Oryctolagus cuniculus: one gene and its partners. The protein of the gene in region 1 binds, or shares a complex with, the protein of each later gene. Links are inferred from orthologs where the notes say so. Each region holds a gene or a part of one and is shown on either strand. Other genes may lie near its edges. The genes, in order: CACNA2D1, CACNA1E and CACNA1C.

Region 1 (3,633 bases):
CATAGTTTTGCATCAGTTGGTGTGTTTACTTTGGCTTCCCTTATTTCAGGAACTTGTTTTATTTCTTTTAGTTTCAGCAATACCTAAGTTAATATCTTAGGATAAATTCAATTTGGAAAAAAAAAATCTTCTTTTCATGTGTTCCAGCAAGGGAGTGAAAGCACGGTTTGTTGTGACTGATGGTGGGATTACCAGAGTTTATCCCAAAGAGTAAGTTCAAATAACACCTGTAAAAGTAAGTGCATTAGAAAAACCGTACCAAGATCTGTGCATTCCTGTATTAAGAAACCGTTCTCCAGAGAAATTGATCATCATTTGTAGATTGCACTGGTGTCATTGTTGTCAAGAATTTGCAGTATTAAAATACTCCATTCTGAAAAATGGAATCTTAGGATTTTTTCAATGATATAGGTATTTTTATATATATATATTTATTTATTAAAATGTTTACAAGATGTTTAAAGAGAATTTTCTCTTGGTAGACATAAGCTCAAACTAATTAAATTAACATAATGATTTAGACTATTAGCAGGATTTGTATAGCATGCCATTGTTTCCAGTGTTCCTTGATGTATCTTTCTCTGTAATGGTCGGAAGTGGACCAAGGAAGCACCAAGACTTACTAATACTAATTAGTCTTGTTCATAATTACCTGGATAGTACCTGGATAGTAAACAGCTGAGTAAGACTAGGAGCCAGTTTTTCTGTTTCTTGATACTGTTCTGATGTATTGCTTAGTAGTATCAGTTCCACTGTCAGCTAGCACTAACTTCCTTAGATACACCTGAGATGTAGACGTTATCTGTAGAGCTCAATGTGTCCACCAAGGGAAAAGTAGGTTATCAGGTAGATTAAAGAATATGAATGATGAGCCATTTCCTCCTTAGGGCTGGAGAAAATTGGCAGGAAAACCCAGAGACATATGAAGACAGCTTCTATAAAAGGAGCCTCGATAATGATAACTACGTTTTCACTGCTCCCTACTTTAACAGTAAGTATTGCTTTGGAATTCAGCTTCCTCAATTACTTTTTCAAAAATAAATTATTGCTGCTACCTGCTTTCTCCCACATCAATATATTTTATGTTAACTGACCAAAATGACTATTCAAAAGCCTGCATTATATGCAAGCTATTAGAAAAATAGAAAAGAAGCATCCATTTAGTTGAAGAGATAAAATTCTTACACAGCATGTAATTATGCAGTTGCGCAAAGGTAGCATTTCTAACAGGCATGCATAGGAAATAGAAACACATGTAGAGCATCCTTCATGGCACAGCTGAAAAATATATTGGAAGAATGCTTAATGAACTAAATAAAATAGAGTAACTGATTAATTATATTTTATCAGTATTAATTACATACTGTAATATTTATAAAATACTGAAAATATTCTGTTGAGTTATTTCCAAAACATCTTTCTAATTTAACTCCTTAACATCTCTGGGAATAGGCCTTACTTACCCCCATTTTCACAAAAGGGACAACTGCACTGGGGCTGTGCTGTGGCATAGTAGGTTAATCCTCTGCCGGTGGTGCAGGCAACCCATATGGGCACTGATTCGAGTCCCGGATGCTCCACTTCCAATCCAATTCTCTGCTATGCCCTGGGAAAGCAGTGGAGGATGGACAAGTGCTTGCCCCTGCACCTGCGTGGGAGACCCAGAAGCTCCTGGCTTTGGATCAGTGCAGCTCTGGCCATTGTGGCCATTTGGGGAGTGAACCAGCGGATGGAAGACCTCTGTCTCTCCCTTTCACTGTCTGTAACTCTGCCTCTCAAATAAAATAAAAAGGGGTGGGGGCAACTGCAGTTCAGAGAATTTCAGAGCTGTGTCCAGGAACATCTACATTATAAAAAGTAACACCAGTTTTAGGCACCCAAGACCAGTCTTTCCTGTTTACTTTTTTCCTCTTTACTTCTGCAACTGCCCCAGCATTTTGGCAGATGGTAGAAAGCCAAGATTTGATGTGTGTGCATTATGTTGCAGATTTAGATTAAACCAAACTAGGTAATTCCTGTCTCCAAATCAATAAATACACAACAATTCATGGACATTCCAAGTAGCTTGGTTGGTATATAAAGAAAGAAGAGAGGAAGAAGGAACCATGCATCTCTTTATGTGTTGTATAATCTATAATTTTTAAGTAAAACACTATCCATCTGTATCTATTGATATAAATTTAATATTGTTATCCACTGTATCTTCTAGATAAGTCTGTTTTCTTTCTTTTCTTTTAGAAAGTGGACCTGGGGCCTATGAGTCAGGCATTATGGTAAGCAAAGCTGTAGAAATATATATCCAAGGAAAACTTCTTAAACCTGCAGGTAAGCATACACACACTATACACATAAACACAATCAAAATTAAATGTGACCTGACATCTACACTATAATCTCCCATCATGTGAATGCCTCAAACAAAATAATGTCAGACATGCAAACTGAAAAAATATGTAATTTTGCTATCTATCAAATTGGGGATAAAATTAAATTGATACTATAAAGTGCTGAAGAATTTAAGAAGTGTTTTTATATATAATCAACAAAAATTTATGGAATCCATTTAACATAATATATTAGGATTTTAAATGCACAACTTAAAACATTGGGTTGATCTAGGAATTCCACTAGAGAAGTCTCTCCTAATACTTTCAAATAAATAATAAAGCAACATGGCCAAGGACATAAATATTTGTAATAATTTAAAGATAGAAAGTTAAACTTCCATCACTGGGGGAGAACATAAATTATGGCATAGGTACTCTATAGAGTCCTATCAGAGAAGATTAGGAAGGGATCTGTTAAAAACTTGCAAATTATAGAAAAATGACTTTTTGGTAAAAATTAAATAAGCAAGTGAAAATACATAATAAAATTAAACATTAGAAGTGGAAGTCAGCTGAGGTGGGTGAATACAATAAAGTAAAAACTTGGTTTTTTTTTTTTTCATTATATGATTTAATTTTACTGGAAATTTAGAAAAAAAGCATAATATTATGGAGGCCAGATGGATGAGTGGTGACCATCCTACTTCAGAGGGCAGTTTTATCCCATCAGTGGTTCTAGTATTTGGTTCACCCCATCACTCACAACTCACACCTGTTCCTTCCTTCCCTCAGTTGCTCGTTTACCAGTTATTCTCTCAGCCTGTTACACGTGCGAGGGGATTAGGGAAGCTTCTTAAAATACACCGCTTGAATGAAGTAATATTTATGAGGCTATCTTTGATATTATTATTATCACTATTATTATCACTATTATTATTTTAGCTTACTGTATTAGATAATTGGCCAGTGTGTGGCCAATAAATAAATTGTTTTGTGAATATAAATGATTGATGATGTAATAGTTCAAGAACAATTAGCATCGTTCCTTAATGAAGAGCTCCCCCCAAAAATCTACAATAACTATTCACTCCAACATTTTTTGCTTTTGTATAAATTTTCTAATATGTCATATAGCAAAGATTGTATTACATCCATTTCTATCTTTAATTTTTCAGTTGTTGGAATTAAAATTGATGTAAATTCTTGGATAGAGAATTTCACCAAAACTTCAATCAGGGATCCGGTAAGATAGTTTTTTAAAACCTCTTATGCTACACTTATTCTCAAAATAAAATAAGAAATCTAC
Region 2 (4,065 bases), on another chromosome or scaffold:
CCGGCCGGCCCCCATGTGCCAGGACCGTGCCTGTGAGTTTCCAGCATGCAGAAACTTCACACTCATACGTGTTCTGACACAGCCCACACCAGCAGGGCTCACGTGGCCCTGCCCACGCAGGCACAGGTGGGAACACTTCCCTCCTCACCAGTCAGCAGCTGCACAGGTTCCTCCCTTAGCCCCTCCCTCCCTGCTCTTCCAGGGTTCAGGTGGGCAGGACTGGACAGGACTGTGTGGAGGACCAGGCAGGACAAGGCACAGGGAGGTGTGTGGACGTGGGAGGGGAAAGCTGCGGGTCCCCCGACCACCTTGGGGGCTTGGCCGCCCAACGCAGGCTGTTCCTCTGCAGCTCTGGGTCTGCCTTTCCCACCCTGTGGCCCAGCACTAGTTCTGCTTTTCTCCTCACCGATAGTGTGGGCTTCAGAAAGTGAGCTTATTTGGGAGAAGGGGGCCGGATGCTCCCTCTGTTAGGGGGCCCAGAACTTGCCATCAAGGCCCCGCAATATGCGGCCCTCCCAACCCACCCAAAAGCCGCCCAGAAGGTCCCATAGGAGAGCAAGTGCAGAAGCTGACGGATCTGGCACCCACCTCTCCCTCGGGACCTTCAAGACGCTAAGTTGGAAGACGGGGTGAGCGCACTGCCCCCGTGGAAGTCCCCGCTCGTGTTCCTGGAGCCTGGGAGGAGTGGACGAACCCCGGGCGCGGCGCTCGCGCCCCGACTCCGCCAGGTCGCCGTGCTAGGACGGGCGTCAGAAACCCCGCTCTGCAGCCACGAGCCGAGAGCGCGCGCGTGTGCGCCCCCGCGGCCCGCTCCGCTGCGGAGACTGCGCCGCGCCGCCGGCTGCGCCCGCCCAGCGGCTCAGTTCTTCTCAGCCAAGGCGACCCCTCCTTGGGCCTCTGCAGAGGCGGCCGCTACCCCGGCCGCACCAGTCACTGGGCAGCCGCCTCCGCGCGCAGGAGCCGCCTCCGCCGCGCGCGCCGTGCGCCCCTGCGCTGAGCTCGCCTTCGCTCGCTCGCTCGCCCGCCCGCCCGCCGCCCCTGCGCCCGCGCCAGAGGCGCCGCCGGCGGAGAGGAAGGCTGAGGAGGGGAGCCAAGTCGCCGGCCCGGGCCGCACCTGTTCCTCCGGGCGCCGAGGTCCCGGCCCTGCTGCCCCGCGCGAGGGACGGGCGGGGCTGCCCGGCTTCACTGCCTCTGGACGTGGCTCAACTTCTTTCTCAGGCGCAGGAGCCGGGAAGGCGGTCGTCCCTCTCCGGTGGGATCGACCCCTTATTTGGATATTTGGGCGTTGCGGTTCACGCAGGAAGCTCGGCGGCGTGCTCCCCTCCCAGCCTCGCCAACCTTCGCATGCGCCGGCGCCGGCAGCCGCAGGCACCGGGCCTCGGCCGTGGAATTTCTCAGATGGACTCGCCCTAGCCGCGGCCTCGGCTTTTTCTTTCCTCTTCCAAGTTCTTTTGTTTTCGCCCCTCCCCCACCGCACGTCGCCTTCTCTCGGACCCAGGCGCCGCGCCCGCCCCAGCTGAGCGGGTGCTGAGTGCAGCCCGCCCCGCGCTCCCAGCTTCGGCCAGAGCTCCATCGCCATCCGCGCGCCGCTCGCTGCGCCCTGCTCCCCAGCCCGGAGCGGCGCCCAGCGTTCGACGGCGGGCGGCGGGGCCGCAGGAGCCACGGCTGAGGCGCCGCGCGCGCCTGCTGCCTCTGCCTGCGCCGGCCGCCGTCACCTGTGTATCTCTTCTGTTTGAACTTCAGGATGGCTCGCTTCGGGGAGGCGGCGGCCGGCAGGCCTGCCTCAGGCGAGGGAGATTCGGACCAGGGCAGGAACCTGCCAGGAACGCCCGTGCCGGCCTCGGGGTCCGCGGCCGCCTACAAGCAGTCGAAGGCGCAGAGGGCGCGCACCATGGCCCTGTACAACCCCATTCCCGTCCGGCAGAACTGCTTCACGGTGAACAGATCCCTGTTCATCTTTGGAGAAGACAACATTGTCAGGAAGTACGCCAAGAAGCTCATCGACTGGCCATATCCTTTCTTCCCCCAGCCCCTGTCTCCCCGGCCTTCCTCCTGGGGAGGGGCGTCTGCCGCGGGATGCCTTGCCCACGTACCTCTGGGCTCCAGCTGGTGCCTCTGCTGGAGTTACGGCTCAGGGGCAAGCCTGGGCACTTGCGTTCCTGAAGGTAAGACTTTGGCTTTCTGCTTTTTCCTGTGTGGAGACCCCTAGTGTCCCTGGGGTGCCTGGTGCTGTGTTTCTGCCCTTTTGTGGGCTTGGTTCCCACCCACCCCCCCCCCCACACAAACCAAGCCCCTCTCCAGGCTGCCTTCCTCAAAGCTTGAACCCTCTCTCATCTCAAGGCTTTCTTTGATAATCGGCGTGCCTTTTCCTGTCTCAAGTCAGCCCCTCTGTCCCATCCCCTCCAGCTGGGGAGTGACCTGTGCTGTCGGCCTTTGGGGAAGTTGAGGCTCCAGAGGGTTGGATCTGTTCAGAAGCCCCCAGAGCTTGGCCTGCAGCCCTGTGCATGCGCTGGCAGCTGGGGCCCAGTGGGCTCCGGGACCAAGTTCCAGCTGTGCTGAAAGCGGCGGGTGCTGTGGGAAAGGCTGTGCCGCAGGCTTCGGGTGCTAGCCGCTCCGGGTGGGGCTCATCTGTGTTCTAGGCCCCCTCTGCATGGCCTTGAGCTGGGTCCTCCTGCCCTTAGGAGCCTGGCTGCTGTCCCCACTCCCAGGGGCCTGCGCTTGTCAGCGGAGGGAGAGGGGTGCCAGCCACCTGTCTCCAGCTGCAGAGGAGTTGCTCTCCACCAGGAGCTGGTAGGGGCGTCTGAGGGAGGGGGTGGCGGGGTGAGGGGGCCTGCAGGGGTCTTCTCTGTGGGCTTGGTCAAGTGCACCCGGTACAGGTGCTTCCCCGCCTTGTTCTTCACTAAGAATCTGGGTGCCTGGCACAGCCCTTGGGGCTTGGGGGTGGGGTGGGAGGCGATTGGGTGGAGTGGTGTTAAGGACAGTGGCTCAGGGCCAAGGCCTGGGATGCTTGTGGAGGGAGGTTTCTTGGGAACAAGCCCCTACCAGGAGGCCCCTCCTCGTACCCCACCCCACCCCCAAACCCCGATCCTCCCGAGGTGCAGCAGAGAGACGGCTAGAACTGCACGGGTCTCTGGTGTCAGCCAGGCACGTGGCTTGCTTCCCCCAGGGCCTGGGCACCTCCCTCCTCCCCCGCCCTGCTCTGGCCTTCTCTGCTTCCCTCCTCCCTGGCTCCCTGCTCCAGCCGCATGGTGATTGGCTGGTGCGTGGTGCTTCCAGGGAGCATCTCTACGCAGATCTTCCTGCTGCGGTTTGCACCCTCCCACCGGCACCCCTGGCTGCGCTTCTCCTCCTCTCCTGCTTCCTGTGCCGCCCCCTCCCCCAGAGTGATCCCAGGCCCTGCAGTGCCTGAGTCTTCTGTAGGTTGGGGGCCAGGGTGGGGGAGAGATCCGGTCCCTGCAGCCGTGCCTGCTGTGCCCACAAAGGGCAGAAGTGCCCCTCCTGGTGCCGCTGTGGCCCGCAGATCCCTCCCCCAGGAGGTCTCTGCCGCTGGCCCAGCCGCCCGCCCGCCCCTTCCGCATTTCTGCTCTAAACCCTCTCCCCCGCCCCTGTTCATTCAGTCAGGCACTCCTTCTCCCCTGCAGATAGAGCCACTGGGTGGCCGGGGTGCAGCGGCTATCAGCACCTCGGACAGCGCCATCGACCTGCCGTGTGGGCACCTCCACAGGCAGGCTGGGGTTCCCGGCGGGGGAGGGGGGGGGGGCAAGTCGCTGTGTTCCCTGCTGCCCAGGGCTGCCTCTTTCTGTGTTTCTCTGTCTTGCTGCAAATGCTGCCTCTCCCCAGGTGCAACTGGTGCCCAGCTGTGCGTCTTACAGAGGGAGTCCAAGGAGAGGCACAGGAGGGGTTGACTTCAGCTTCAGGCTTGGGGCCTTGGCTGCAAGCCCCGTCCCCCTGGTCTCGTCAGGCCCTGTGGCTGGGCTTGACACAGGTTCTGCAGCGTGGAGCCTTGTACCTGTGCCGTGTTGGGTTTGCTTTCTTCTTCTGGCTGTGCATGGTAACTGACCAATG
Region 3 (3,633 bases), on another chromosome or scaffold:
CCCCTGGGGTCTGCACTTCCTGGGACGAGCCTGTTACCTGCTTGGGTTTCAGTTTCCCTATACGAGAAATGATGGGGATGGCTGGCACCTGGGGGTAGAGGTCAACAACATGAACTTGAAGACCCTGTCCAGCTGTACTTTCTCTGAACCTGTGTTTCTATTGTTGGGGGTGAGGGAGGGAGGCAGGGTGGGAAGAAGTGGGCAAATAACTGCTTTGATTTGGAATTCCCAAGCTCTGGCCAGCTCCAGGCAGACCCTCCAAGGGTCTTTGTATGTGTGGGTTCACATAGAGGCTTGGTAGAGATGCCAGGCTACCTACTCAGTGCCAGTTATAATAACCACTTTTAAGAGCATTCTGTCTTCTATTAGAGACAATACTGTTGACAGTATCAATCACAGCAGTTCTCTCGGGGGACACCCAACAATAAAACCCCGCAATTAAAGAGCAAGGCAGGGCTTGCTACCTCACTCCCACCCCGCTCCAACCTGCAAGCTTGCCTGGTCTCAACCTTGTAGGATACTCCAGGTGGCTAATAGGGTTATGGAGAAGGAAAGGGAGAGGGTCACTGTTGGGCTTTGTCAAAGTGGGTCAGTGTCAGGCTGTCTTTGCTGGGGAACTCTACCCCTGTGTCTCCTGCTTCTTCCTTGTCCCCTATGCCCACCAAATACCCCCAAGGCCAAGCATCATTTTCTTTAAGAATGGACACAAACAGATATCCTACTGAATGTGTTCTTGGCCATTGCTGTGGACAACCTGGCTGATGCTGAGAGCCTTACTTCTGCCCAAAAGGAAGAGGAAGAAGAGAAGGAGAGAAAGAAGCTGGCCAGGTAACCCTCTACACTCACCCAGGCCAAGGCCCCAGAATCCCAGTTCTGGAATACGTTCCCACTGGAGGGTCAGGGAGGCTTGGTGCTGGCCCCCGATCCCTTCACTCCTAGGAGGGCCCTGGGCCTGAGGCTTCCTGCAGTAACTTGGGCCTCTCTCCAATTCCTGGGTGGTGCTCTAAAGAAGGACCGTTGTGGATTGCAGTCCCCACCAAGGTGTTGCATTTCCCCCACCAGAGAAGCCATCAGAGGTGGTGGGAATGTAGGGTGGGGAAGGAGGAAGGCAGCCCCCTCGGAGGGGAAACAGAATCACAGCTTTCAGAGCGCTGCCTCCTCGGTGTTTTCTACTTCATTTCCAGTGATAAGAAAGCAGGAGTGGGCCCTGCATTGAGTGTCCCGTCAGTGTCTAGGTGGGACAGTCATAGGCCACGCATCCACCTGGCACCGAGTAGTGTTCCTCCAGGAACCAATCCTAAATGAGAGCCAGAATCATTCTTGGATGAATGAACTGGAGCAGCGGCTGGAAGGGGCCCATTGAGTGCCAGGCAGAGCCAGGTGCAGCCCAGCTCAGTGGCACTTGTGATTAAGTTGCACACGCAATGTGCCCTGGATGTCCATGCAAGGACTGTGCTCCCGCTAGCCCAGTAGACCCCAGAACAGCTCCTTGCCACCCCAGTAAACATCCATTTCTCTTTTCCTCCTGCTGACCGGCCAGGACTGCCAGCCCGGAGAAGAAACAAGAGGTGGTAGGGAAGCCGGCCCTGGAGGAGGCCAAGGAGGAGAAAATTGAGCTGAAATCCATTACAGCTGATGGAGAGTCCCCGCCTACCACCAAGGTGAGTCGCCATCTCCTTCCAGGAGCTGTGGCCACTGCTGAGGGAATGGGGGCCACGGTCTTCCTAAGAAGACAGAGGGAGGCCACTCGGTGGGAATAGAGCCGATGCACTTGGCTGACTCCAGGCCTCTGCTGGTGTCTGAAGAGGATGTCTCAGGTGACAAAGGCGGGTTTTTGAGCTCAGCCACTGATTGTTGTGCAATTTCAAGGCTACTCTGAGCCTCTAAAACTGTGGAACTTATCTAACTTCTTCTTCTTCCCCTCCTTGGCTGCCTAGATCAACATGGATGACCTCCAGCCCAATGAGAGTGAGGATAAGAGTCCCTACCCCAACCCGGAAACCACAGGTACCGGTCCCACTGCCTGACCTTGAGATGGGAGGTTGAGGGTAGATATGCAAATTCTAAAGCCATGTGCGGACAGCCATGAGTTTGGGGCCAGTGGCTCCAGGTTCTCCTTGCCAGCATGTGGCACTGTTAAATGTCTCCTGTCTCTATACTTATGTATTGCCATGATTATCTGAGGGAAAACTTGGTTTATGGTTTCCACATAGTACCAACACTAGGTTAGATAAGATTACAGTTGAGCAAGGCTTTTGTGCTCTTTGGAAGCTGGCTTCTATATACCTGCAAGGTTTCCTTATATTCTATGTTGGTCAAATCATCGTTTCCTTGCCTGATGTGTTAGTATAGCACCTTTTGCTGTGTTCTGCTCTCTTTGTAATTGTGGCAAATCTCACGTCTGCCCTTGCTCTTACTCAGCTGGGTGCAGGGATGGCTGCCACCACCGGCGTCCCCCCTGCTGATTTGTAAAGTTCTTTCAGGTCTCTTCTTGTCCAGAGAGCTCTTACTGACCCCATCTTCTCATGATACGTGACTGGGCAGGGAGTCCCCTTTCAGGGGGTGTTAATGTCAGAGGTCAGAGGTCCTCCCCCAGGCTTTACTAGCTTTGCTTCCTGCAGCCTCACATCCTGTCCAAACCCCAGACTTGCCCTCCTCTTACCTAGAATTGCAGATACTATCATCGGCTTCAAGCTTGAAGTCAACAGCTCGGGGTCAAGGCATTTCCTTCTCTGTGTGGACCAGGCTGTGTCTGGAGGGAAAGCCAGTTAGGTGGCAGAAAGCCTTCTCGCTGTACCTGTTCTCTGCTTACGTGCAGGGACACCAGCAGGCCTCTTCTGTTGTCCTTGGGAAGTAGGCTCCTCCTGTGGGCTTCCACCCTCACCCGTTTCCACTCCCACAAGGGCACAGGTTGGGTGCCCTGGGGCTTGGACAGAGAGAAGAGCAGGAGGGCTGCTTCCACGTTGGGACCCTTTGAAGTCCTAAAATCCTTTGCAGGGCAGGCTGAGGGGGCCAATCTTGCAGACTTGGTAGACACACGGGGAGGACCTCGTCTCGGCCCTGAATCAACAAATGAACCAAAGTGCCATTCTGTAAATAATTGGGCTAAATTGAATATGGACTGGGAAATAAATGACTGGAGATGGTTTTTGTTAATCTTGTTGACATACTATTATTCTAGCTCTGTTTTGAAAATGCCAAGCTGTCTAAAATGTTGAGAAGTTACTTTTTGAATGTTCCAACAGCAAAATAGGGGAAGCGAAGAAGATAAATGAAACAAGATCAGCACAATGTCAGTGATTGTTAAGGCAGGGTTTGTGGAGGTTTCCTATAGGAGTCTGAACTCAAGCATCTTTTTGAAGTTTAAGGAGATGGACAGTGGTGACATGAATCCCAGGTTGGCCCCGCTCTCTCCAGCACGCAGCTTCCTGGCACACAGCAGAGGGGACATCTGGATCTGAAGGTCTCCCCACAGCCCCCACCCTGCTGCAGTCAGGCCTCAGCCTGTCCCTCCCACGTGGCTGTGGGGCAGACCAACATCTTGCATCTATGACAATAATCTCAAATTCTATTATTCTAAACATCCTCCTGGCTTTTCTCCTCTTTGTGGCTTTAATGAAATCAAAGAGAAGA

The links.
Region 2: the proteins of CACNA2D1 (region 1) and CACNA1E are in contact, whole or in part, in a cryo-EM structure (PDB 8EPM), measured with the Homo sapiens proteins. The link is inferred for Oryctolagus cuniculus from reciprocal best matches to the Homo sapiens genes CACNA2D1 and CACNA1E. Residues at the interface, in NP_001353796.1 of Homo sapiens: Thr170, Asp171, Tyr173, Ile233, Leu235, Ser261, Gly262, Ser263, Ser265, Gly266, Leu267, Lys270, Ala327, Lys328, Gly329, Ile330, Thr331, Glu366, Gln391, Asn393, Tyr394, Ile416, Gly417; in NP_001192222.1 of Homo sapiens: Gln110, Leu112, Pro113, Glu114, Asp115, Asp116, Lys117, Pro119, Arg122, Asn630, Phe631, Asn632, Asp633, Gly634, Ile1330, Gly1331, Asn1332, Val1334, His1336, Met1341, Val1343, Arg1346, Arg1393, Ser1394.
Region 3: the proteins of CACNA2D1 (region 1) and CACNA1C are in contact, whole or in part, in a cryo-EM structure (PDB 8WEA), measured with the Homo sapiens proteins. The link is inferred for Oryctolagus cuniculus from reciprocal best matches to the Homo sapiens genes CACNA2D1 and CACNA1C. Residues at the interface, in NP_001353796.1 of Homo sapiens: Thr170, Asp171, Tyr173, Ile233, Leu235, Gly262, Ser263, Ser265, Lys270, Thr274, Ala327, Lys328, Gly329, Ile330, Glu366, Gln391, His392, Tyr394, Ile416, Gly417; in NP_955630.3 of Homo sapiens: Phe147, Pro148, Glu149, Asp150, Asp151, Ser152, Asn153, Ala154, Asn678, Lys1090, Gly1091, Asn1092, Tyr1093, Ile1094, Tyr1096, Gly1099, Val1101, Pro1104, Ile1106, Arg1109, Tyr1156.

What each region holds. Positions count from the first base shown.
Region 1 is NC_091434.1:146,804,675-146,808,307, reverse strand, and holds part of CACNA2D1 (voltage-dependent calcium channel subunit alpha-2/delta-1), read left to right. Parts: intron 1-147; coding exon 148-210; intron 211-887; coding exon 888-991; intron 992-2,238; coding exon 2,239-2,325; intron 2,326-3,502; coding exon 3,503-3,570; intron 3,571-3,633. UniProt on the Homo sapiens protein: The alpha-2/delta subunit of voltage-dependent calcium channels regulates calcium current density and activation/inactivation kinetics of the calcium channel. Plays an important role in excitation-contraction coupling.
Region 2 is NC_091444.1:369,169-373,233, forward strand, and holds the start of CACNA1E (voltage-dependent R-type calcium channel subunit alpha-1E), read left to right. Parts: upstream 1-1,146; 5' UTR 1,147-1,743; coding exon of another isoform or gene 1,744-1,744; coding exon 1,745-2,010; intron 2,011-4,065. UniProt on the Homo sapiens protein: Voltage-sensitive calcium channels (VSCC) mediate the entry of calcium ions into excitable cells.
Region 3 is NC_091440.1:100,409,703-100,413,335, forward strand, and holds part of CACNA1C (voltage-dependent L-type calcium channel subunit alpha-1C), read left to right. Parts: intron 1-713; coding exon 714-828; intron 829-1,540; coding exon 1,541-1,661; intron 1,662-1,937; coding exon 1,938-2,007; intron 2,008-3,633. UniProt on the Homo sapiens protein: Pore-forming, alpha-1C subunit of the voltage-gated calcium channel that gives rise to L-type calcium currents. Mediates influx of calcium ions into the cytoplasm, and thereby triggers calcium release from the sarcoplasm.